Arabidopsis thaliana: one gene and its partner. The protein of the gene in region 1 interacts with the protein of each later gene in a biochemical or structural test. Each region holds a gene or a part of one and is shown in the gene's direction. Other genes may lie near its edges. The genes, in order: SYD and LFY.

The links.
Region 2: the proteins of SYD (region 1) and LFY form a complex in vitro, tested with the Arabidopsis thaliana proteins (one study listed by BioGRID).

What each region holds. Positions count from the first base shown.
Region 1 is NC_003071.7:12,054,758-12,060,026, forward strand, and holds the start of SYD (P-loop containing nucleoside triphosphate hydrolases superfamily protein), read left to right. Parts: upstream 1-2,013; coding exon 2,014-2,121; intron 2,122-2,215; coding exon 2,216-2,277; intron 2,278-2,525; coding exon 2,526-2,641; intron 2,642-2,738; coding exon 2,739-3,128; intron 3,129-3,229; coding exon 3,230-3,285; intron 3,286-3,802; coding exon 3,803-3,963; intron 3,964-4,050; coding exon 4,051-4,115; intron 4,116-4,197; coding exon 4,198-4,590; intron 4,591-4,705; coding exon 4,706-4,866; intron 4,867-5,269. UniProt on the Arabidopsis thaliana protein: Catalytic component of the chromatin structure-remodeling complex (RSC), which is involved in transcription regulation and nucleosome positioning.
Region 2 is NC_003076.8:24,842,397-24,847,776, forward strand, and holds LFY (floral meristem identity control protein LEAFY (LFY)), read left to right. Parts: upstream 1-1,851; 5' UTR 1,852-1,898; coding exon 1,899-2,355; intron 2,356-2,813; coding exon 2,814-3,220; intron 3,221-4,126; coding exon 4,127-4,537; 3' UTR 4,538-4,593; downstream 4,594-5,380. Other genes in the region: AT5G61865 (uncharacterized protein), read left to right, coding at 4,999-5,193. UniProt on the Arabidopsis thaliana protein: Probable transcription factor that promotes early floral meristem identity in synergy with APETALA1.

The sequences.
Region 1 (5,269 bases):
CAAATTCATTCTCATTCATCTTAATTGGGACCGGAAAGATTACATTGGAACCTCTTATATAGTAAGAGATACTCTAAAACTGAGATAAGTAAACACCACAAAACAAAATTAAGAGATTAGGGTGTGTTTGGGATTTGCACTGAGCTTGGAACATAAGAGCACACAAGTGGGTAACAAAACTTGTCTCTAGATTCGCCAAGATCCACTTTACTCAAGATTCCATTATTTCCAATGATGTAAGCAATATTGCGAGCGGGAAGGTGACATTTGTCTATTATCTCTTTATCAAGAACAACCGCGACCTTCTTCTCCTCGTCAACGAAGAAACTCCTACCGACATTAGGAAACCAAAAACCAGCGACTGGTTTCATATCAACAGCAAATAACAAGTTGCTCCACGACACTGCATTAGGCTCAATCTTATTAGTAATCCATATCTCGACGACGGATGCCCGGTGAAACAGCACCGCAAGCTGCTCTTCTCTAACACTAGCAAGCGTCACAGTATCTCCAAATACGGCTCGGAAAGGCAGAGGCAGACGCGGTTCAAATCTTGAAATCAAAGGATAGTAGAAAATCAGGGTGATCTAGTGATGGTAGACCATGAAATGGGATCTCTTCTAGGGCATACCAGTAAGTGTTTCCCTTTAGAGACACGCCACTGTGTTTGTACAAAATATACCAGTCTGGAGTGAAATCATCAATGACCTCCCATGAATTGGAGTATAAACTGTAAATCTGAAGCTCACGAATTCGGTCCCTACTGGTCTCCAAGTACTCATTCACGAATCTCAAGATTTTGTGATTCTTTTTCTCGTATCCGAGAGCGTACTTCACGCACTTGTGGTAGATAGAATTTCTAGGTAATTCGATATACCTTGTTTGTCCCAAATAAGGGTTCCAAACAACAACCCTAGAAGAGTCTTTGTCTCTGTCCTTGTTGATGCATAAGAATAAACCCTTGGCAGTGAAAGATTTTAGATATTTTGATTCCATCTGCATTGAGATTACCTATAGGATCTATAGACGGAGAGAGTAGATCTACGCTCATCAAGGAAACTCTATAGTCCATCATCATCACCACCTCAATTCCATTCCTCTGTTTCTTCTTTAAAAAGCTCTCACTTTTCGTTATAGTGTTCCACTTTTTGCAGGTCAATCGCAGTTTCCCCAGAGATTTCACCGGAACCCTAGAGAGCACCTCCTCCTCCATATCAATTGGAAGATCGAACATCTTCGAATCGAATCTCCCAAAATCTCTCTCTCTTTTCCGTGTCTATCAATCCATCTCTTCACGCCCTCTTTTAGTGATATAACTTATCTTTTTCAATTTGGGCTTTATGGTAATGGGTCAAGGCCCATTAAGGGGTCTCGTTTAGAACTCTTGATTAATGTCTGAAATAAGTTTTATACATTTCTTCATTTGGAGAGTCATTTCGCAGAGACGACGCATAGCTTCTTCACTTGTCAGCTCTCAACGTTTCTCACCTGAAATTTCACTTCTGCTTCGTCTTCTCGAGCCGGATCTCTAATTTGTAAAGCTCCCTCTCTCTTTCTTCTTGTTCTTCTTCGTCTCCTTCTACACTGATGGATCGTTATTTAGCTATTTAGGGTTTTGTGAGTTGCATTAACTAGAGTAACTCGCGAATTCTTCTCCTTTGCCTTGCGATTTGGGGAATTTTTTAGCTCCATCAGCCAATTTTACAATTTTGTATGTATCCGTGGATTTATCACATGAATTGTGGACCTCTGAGTTTTTTTTTTTTGTTAGGTTCTTCTCGCTTTAGTTTTGCTTTTAGGTACATAAATTTTCCTCCTTTATGATTTACTTGCTCTTGGGCTATTTTCTTTTATTTGTTTGGTATGGAGTATGGACTCTAGAGTTTAGTTTAGTTTTTTTTTTTGGGCACATTGGTTGGAATTAGTCTTGTTTTATTCTGAATTGTGTAATCAATATCTGCATGCTTGTGGTGATGCAGGGAATTCTTATGTGATGGTGTAATTTAAGTTAAGATGACGTCTTCTTCGCATAATATTGAGTTGGAAGCAGCTAAGTTTCTGCATAAACTTATTCAAGATTCTAAAGATGAACCTGCAAAGCTAGCAACTAAACTTTATGTGGTAATGTGGCTTCACCACTCAGTGTATGTTTTATTTTGTAATTTTGAGCTTTATTCCTGTGCTTTAACTTTGTTTATTCTTTCGATTACTCTAGATATTGCAGCACATGAAAACCAGTGGAAAGGAAAACACAATGCCCTATCAAGTCATATCTAGGTATTGTTTTCCTTATATATCGTCGCTGGTTATTTGTTAATGAATTACTGATTAGGTTGAGATGATATAATCTTCTTACGCTGTGAGGACGTGGGGGCTGCTTCTTACTGAATCAGTTGCTTTAGCCTTTATCTAACTCAAGACTTTAGAATCTAGTTATTCTGGGTCTTTCAGCGTCAAGCTGTTTCTCATGCTTTCAAAGATTTATCACTTTTGTTTTACTGATAAAGTCTTTCTAAAACTCCCAGGGCCATGGACACTGTAGTCAATCAACACGGTCTTGACATTGAAGCTTTGAAGTCCTCGTGTCTTCCTCATCCTGGTGGTACCCAAACGGAAGATTCTGGGTCTGCACATTTGGCTGGTATATCCTCTCTCCTTTGTTTCAGTTGAGTGTTTCAATTGTTTTTTTTATTTATTTATTTATTATCTTAAGCTTCTTGCATCAATGTGGAATACAGGGTCTTCCCAAGCGGTTGGAGTTAGCAATGAGGGTAAAGCAACTCTAGTTGAAAATGAGATGACAAAATACGATGCATTCACTTCTGGTAGGCAGCTTGGTGGATCAAACAGTGCGTCACAAACCTTTTACCAAGGGTCTGGAACTCAAAGTAACAGATCATTTGATCGTGAGAGTCCATCCAACTTGGATTCTACGTCTGGAATTTCTCAACCTCACAATCGTAGTGAGACAATGAATCAAAGAGATGTCAAGTCGAGTGGAAAGAGAAAGAGAGGTGAATCATCACTTTCATGGGACCAGAATATGGATAACTCTCAAATATTTGATAGCCACAAGATTGATGATCAAACTGGAGAAGTAAGCAAAATAGAAATGCCCGGTAATTCAGGTAGGGATATTTGCTTCAACATTGTTTCTTACAGAACAAAGCATATCCTTTTTAATCTAGAATATAAGAAGCACCCTACAATTGTTGCCATTAAACCTCAGGTGACATTAGGAATTTGCATGTTGGGTTGTCCTCAGATGCATTCACGACTCCACAGGTACATAACACTAAGTTTCCCGAATCCATCCAGATTATATACATATTGTGTACATAACATTAGGTTTATGAAATCATTTTGAGCCTCCCTGACTCTGCCAATTTCAAATATTTTGGGACTTTGTGCTACACGTATCTGATGCACAATAACTTCTTAAGAATGTATAAAGAGATATATGCTGGCACATGGTGGCTTATTCTCCGAAACATTTGTCTCTCCTTAGAAGTATTATTTTCTTATCTATTTTCGTTTTCTGTATTGGAAATATGAAAAAAATGCTTGCATTTCCCGTGGTGATTTTCTTTGTTTTTTAACCTAAAAAACTTAGATGCCACTAAATTCACTTTTTCAAAAACGTGATTTGATTAAAACTTTGCCTTCTATATGATGTATTGAATCTTACTTGCATATAGTCTGACTTAGGCTCTGCAAAATGTCCTTTCCTCTTTTATTTCATACCAAGATACCTCGTTGGAACTCATCCCCTCTATATGTGGGATCTTATTTTCTATGGCAGTGTGGCTGGCAGAGCAGTGAAGCCACAGCAATCAGGCCTGCAATTCATAAAGAACCTGGAAATAATGTTGCAGGAGAGGGATTCCTGCCTTCAGGTTCACCTTTTAGAGAGCAACAACTGAAGCAGCTCAGAGCCCAGTGCCTTGTGTTTCTAGCTCTTAGGTACCTTACAGTCTCCTAGCCTCTGTATACTCCTTTTGGTGCGGCAATTGTAACTCTAAAAATTTCTGGTTGATTTTCATCTCGTAGAAATGGTTTGGTACCGAAGAAACTTCACGTAGAGATTGCCCTTCGAAATACTTTCCGCGAAGAAGGTAATGTTGGTGCTCACTGAAGTTACTTTCGAATCCACTTTTTACATGCTTTCCCTTGGATCATAATTGGTCTTCATTACAGATGGTTTCCGCGGAGAATTGTTTGATCCGAAAGGGAGAACACATACGTCCAGTGATCTGGGTGGCATTCCTGACGTCTCTGCACTGTTGTCAAGAACAGACAATCCCACTGGAAGATTGGATGAAATGGACTTCTCATCCAAAGAAACTGAGAGATCAAGACTAGGGGAAAAAAGTTTCGCAAATACTGTATTTTCTGACGGGCAAAAGCTTCTAGCATCTAGAATTCCCAGCTCTCAAGCACAAACTCAGGTTGCTGTTAGTCATTCTCAACTAACGTTTTCTCCTGGTTTGACCAAAAACACACCATCAGAGATGGTGGGGTGGACTGGAGTAATCAAAACTAATGACCTCTCAACTTCTGCTGTTCAACTCGACGAATTTCATTCTTCTGGTTAGTGACTATCTTAGATGGGATTGTTTTAACTGATGGGTCTTTCCCTTTTGGAGTGTAGTATTGTTAACTAATTTGATTGATAACTCTTCGAATATGGATATATGGCACATAGCAGATGAAGAGGAAGGTAATTTGCAACCGTCGCCTAAGTACACCATGTCACAGAAATGGATTATGGGTCGACAGAATAAGAGACTATTGGTTGATCGTAGTTGGTCCCTTAAACAGCAGAAAGCCGACCAGGCAATTGGTTCACGGTTCAATGAGTTGAAGGTCTTTCTCTAGCCTTTTCTTTCATTGGTGTTACCTTTTGTTTCACGAGTGATTGATTTTTCCTGGTGTCAACGTTTTATGCTGTTGCTTGTTGTTTGTGGTGGTTCTTACTTTTCCGTGTTCTTGATCTTGTTATTGGAACAGATCAATGATCATATTTAAGTATCCGATTTTGGATATAGAAGTGCCTGACATTGTGATTGAGTAAATTGTTTAGCTATTCCATCTTCAGCTCTACCCACTGTAACCTGTCAGACTGATCCCAGGAATCAATTTTGATCAAGCTAATATATTAAATTTGATCTCAGTGAGATAAAATAATGGCAAGTTGTACTTGGAATTTAGGCAAGCATTTGTAACCTCTTTTATGTATTCGTCTTCCATTAAGGAACACTTATTTGCT
Region 2 (5,380 bases), on another chromosome or scaffold:
GTGGTGAAAACAGTATCAAGAGTACGAGCCGCTACTCGCAATGATGAAGATGATGATATATAATAGTAATGAATTTATATGTTGTAAACTTGTAATGTTAAAGATTAATAATAAACTAAATGAGAGAAAGGACAAAGAAAAGGTAAGAGGAAACTGAGGGAGTGAGACAGTCAAAATAAAACAGACTGAGAGCATTAAGAATGCCAGTCTCTCAGAACTTCGATTTGACCTGTCGTTTCCTCATTGGCTACCTTTCCAACATTAAAGTTTTTTATCGGCTCAATTCCAATGTTATAATTTTTTATATATTTTCACATCATTCTTTTTTTTCACTGTTTAGTCACAAAGTTTACGTAACCCATATGTCCAATCCCACACTTTAATTTGTATTTTTAGTTCCAACATATAAAAATAACAAAATAACCATTGCTTTTTTCCCCACTTTAATTTGTAAGTTCTTTCTGTTATTTAATAAATTTGACATTACCAAAAAAAAAATTTTTAGATGGGTGAATATATATAGAAATGTAACTTATCAAATTGATTCGGTTTTCTGATTTTCTTAACGACTAAAAAAAATATATGTGTACTAGGGCAATAGGGGTAATTACAAATCAGGGAGATGACAACACGTAAGAGATAGTTGAAGAGATTAGACCGAAACACACCTGACCTCCTCTCCTTCTGGAGTTTTCACACTGCATTTATCAATTAATGTTTCCTAAAACGCAGATAGATAAAGGTTTCATTTATTAGCTTATGTTTATTTAAAGCAAAAGAACAACTTGTGGCTATATATAGTAGATTAACAATCTCAGACTCAGAGTGCTGATATTTCTTATCATACAAAATTTATCTTCCCCTAACAATACTTCCAAAGCTTATTTAGATAGACATATATGGAATTATGGATAATGGATTCCCTTAAGTTATATGAATCATAGGGGAATATAATTTTAGTAACTTATCGGGCTTCTGCAAAGATTGTGCATGGTACCATGCGTCCATGCCAATACAGTTAAAGTTTACATAATACAAATTTTTACGTATTTCTATATATCATATATGACTTACAGATTATCATAGCTTAATATAGCCAGTATTGCCAACTTTCCATTCGTACCTAGAACTTATAAGAAGATTGGAAAGGATATTAAAATTGAAAAAGACGTAGGTTGGCCATGTATCTTAAGATAGTTAAACGATATCAGCAATCTATCAATAATCAATCTATCGTAACAAATATTTTTGTCATAAATGTATTTGTAGATTTTTTTTTTTATACTTTTAGATGGTTAAATGTTCAAGAAATCTAACCAAATGGTGGAATGGTTCCGTTTGATCGTGCTCTCATGGTACAAACAATGAGACCCCCCAAAAAAAAAAAACCCCCGAGGATGAAATTAAAACAAATAACACAGCTTGAACAAAACATCAAAAACAGAGGATCATCACAGTAAATATTAATACTTGAACAAAACATCAAAAAGATAGGATCATCACAGTAAATATTAATATGCATAAAGAAGAGAATCACCACAGTGAAAACCCTAATCATTTTATATTCCTACGTGTCAAATTATGAATGGTCATAATCAGAGTAGAGAAAAAGAATGTCGATGAAAGAAAAAGTTTGACTTGTTAAGTCCCAACTGTCAATTTCCCAGCAAGACACATATCTTCTTTTACATCACATTACATCTACACATAAATGCTTTATTGCAAAAATAGCGATATAAAAAAAGAATATACAAAAACCTAGTATTTATTTTCTAGATTCTTTACTGTTGTATATATAGAAGTTGCTCGAGTGGTCATTTTTACAATAAAGCAATCTGCTCAAAAGAGTAAAGAAAGAGAGAAAAAGAGAGTGATAGAGAGAGAGAGAAAAATAGATTATGGATCCTGAAGGTTTCACGAGTGGCTTATTCCGGTGGAACCCAACGAGAGCATTGGTTCAAGCACCACCTCCGGTTCCACCTCCGCTGCAGCAACAGCCGGTGACACCGCAGACGGCTGCTTTTGGGATGCGACTTGGTGGTTTAGAGGGACTATTCGGTCCGTACGGTATACGTTTCTACACGGCGGCGAAGATAGCGGAGTTAGGTTTTACGGCGAGCACGCTTGTGGGTATGAAGGACGAGGAGCTTGAAGAGATGATGAATAGTCTCTCTCATATCTTTCGTTGGGAGCTTCTTGTTGGTGAACGGTACGGTATCAAAGCTGCCGTTAGAGCTGAACGGAGACGATTGCAAGAAGAGGAGGAAGAGGAATCTTCTAGACGCCGTCATTTGCTACTCTCCGCCGCTGGTGATTCCGGTACTCATCACGCTCTTGATGCTCTCTCCCAAGAAGGTACAATAATTATGAATACATATAGAAATATCAAATATCGCACGTTTTATAAATATGTGTATATATTGTTCTCAACATTTCTATGCCCGACTTTCAAGAAAAAGTATGTATATGTTCACGTGACTAATATAGATAACTAATTTATGAATCTTACCATATGTATAGTAGTTGCTACATAATTTTATGTTTAAGCTTTTTTTTTGGTTAAATATATTGGTTAAGCTTTTGTTACATAATACAAGATAATATATGTCATATTTAATTTATATGTTGGATATATTTACTTGTATGATATTGATTTAGAGCTACTGTGTGTATAGAGTATGCAGTCATAGTCTGATATTTATTAAATAGACCTAGTGCAAGAAGTACGAGGATTAATGTCATGTACAGGAATTCAAAGAGTATATACGCCTAAACTTGAATAATTTTTTGTGATTGTGACAATTTATATGTAGATGATTGGACAGGGTTATCTGAGGAACCGGTGCAGCAACAAGACCAGACTGATGCGGCGGGGAATAACGGCGGAGGAGGAAGTGGTTACTGGGACGCAGGTCAAGGAAAGATGAAGAAGCAACAGCAGCAGAGACGGAGAAAGAAACCAATGCTGACGTCAGTGGAAACCGACGAAGACGTCAACGAAGGTGAGGATGACGACGGGATGGATAACGGCAACGGAGGTAGTGGTTTGGGGACAGAGAGACAGAGGGAGCATCCGTTTATCGTAACGGAGCCTGGGGAAGTGGCACGTGGCAAAAAGAACGGCTTAGATTATCTGTTCCACTTGTACGAACAATGCCGTGAGTTCCTTCTTCAGGTCCAGACAATTGCTAAAGACCGTGGCGAAAAATGCCCCACCAAGGTATCTTTTGATTTATCTTCTAAGAACTAATCCTGACCGTTCATTATCTTGAAATTTATGTTTCAAACAAAAGTTTAAAAAATGGTGTCGGAAGTTATGGGGTATGGTAGGGGAACTATAGCTATAATCATGGACAGCTGTTCTAAAAGCAAGTTTGACAAATCACGATTTCTCAGGGTTTTCAATTTTTTATTTTTTTTTGCTATGTCTCGCAACAAAATTTAGGTTCTAATTTATTAAATTTTTCATTTTGTTTTCATACTGTCTTCAGCATAAATATAGTTAGATTTCAATTTCAATTTTGACAGTAAACGTACGACAACGTGTCGAGTTAGGGAAAGGACATAGTTGTTTCTTTGTTTTTGGCTATAACGACATGAGATAGTTAGATACGATATACAAATTTTTGCATGCATTCACACATAGTACACATAGATATTATTAGACTTTTTGACAATTAATAGGGATATTTGTTGTATGTATATATTATTATATCTAGTTACAGTCTATTGCTCGGCGGATAATAGAGGGTCCTCTTTCCTCTAGTGATGATAGTACAGAATCCATGAGCTCTGTGCCATTGCTTGTACAGACGCACGTTACTAAGAAAATCTAATTTATTTGTTTTCTTTCTAAATTTGTTATTGGTTCCAATATTTTGATTATTGTGTTGTTTTTATCAAAAACCTTTTTGTTATCTAATTTTTTGGGTTTAGTTAAGTGTCAAGTCTAACAAGGGTTATAAAAAATATCTAACAACTACGGTTATAATTTTGGTAGGCATTTTTTTTTAATCATTGTTTACCGAATTAAAACCAAACTTATTAGGTTTCATTTTTCCTACTATATATCTCATGATAAATGATTTGTTTGATTATATTGATGTTGGGGAAAATGTGTAAATAGGTGACGAACCAAGTATTCAGGTACGCGAAGAAATCAGGAGCGAGTTACATAAACAAGCCTAAAATGCGACACTACGTTCACTGTTACGCTCTCCACTGCCTAGACGAAGAAGCTTCAAATGCTCTCAGAAGAGCGTTTAAAGAACGCGGTGAGAACGTTGGCTCATGGCGTCAGGCTTGTTACAAGCCACTTGTGAACATCGCTTGTCGTCATGGCTGGGATATAGACGCCGTCTTTAACGCTCATCCTCGTCTCTCTATTTGGTATGTTCCAACAAAGCTGCGTCAGCTTTGCCATTTGGAGCGGAACAATGCGGTTGCTGCGGCTGCGGCTTTAGTTGGCGGTATTAGCTGTACCGGATCGTCGACGTCTGGACGTGGTGGATGCGGCGGCGACGACTTGCGTTTCTAGTTTGGTTTGGGTAGTTGTGGTTTGTTTAGTCGTTATCCTAATTAACTATTAGTCTTTAATTTAGTCTTCTTGGCTAATTTATTTTTCTTTTTTTGTCAAAACCTTTAATTTGTTATGGCTAATTTGTTATACACGCAGTTTTCTTAATGCGTTAACGGATTTTAAAACCAATTTGGTCAAACTCAAAAGTACTAAGATACATTTGAGTTAAGAGCACTGAAAATAACCATTCATACATCGAGAAAGAACTGTGAAGGTGTCATCAGTATAATTAATCAATAATGGGCCAGTTTGAGACAAATATATGGGCCTGGTTTGAGACAAATAGATGGGCCGTGGATATATAAACTTGTGTGTCAGAAATTGCAAACGAAGAAAACAAAAGAGAATTTGAGAAACGACTGTTTGAAATTCGAATCCATTTCTCTTCGGACTTGTGTGATAACTGATTTCCTCCTACAATGGAGTTCCCGCCAAGAGCGTTTTATCCACGGAGATTCCAGGCCTCTCCGGCGCAATACACGGCGGAGGAAAGTGCTGCAGCAGTATCGGCGCCAGATCTCCGAGATAAGCTCGCGACACTGGTCGATCGCACCAAGAAAGTGAAAATGGCGTACCATCAACTCCAATCGCAGATCGCGTTCGGCCTTGTCGAAGTAAAGATAAATGCTCTTCTCTAGTTTGTTAGATTCGATTTCTAAGTAGATCTAAGCTTGATTCAAACGAATTTGAGAGAGGTAATCCTATTATCTGGTTTGGTAGATTCGAGCTTGATTTGAACGATTCCGAGTGTTGCGTACTCTTTAAATTGGTAGTTTCAAGCTTAATTTGAACAATTGTGGG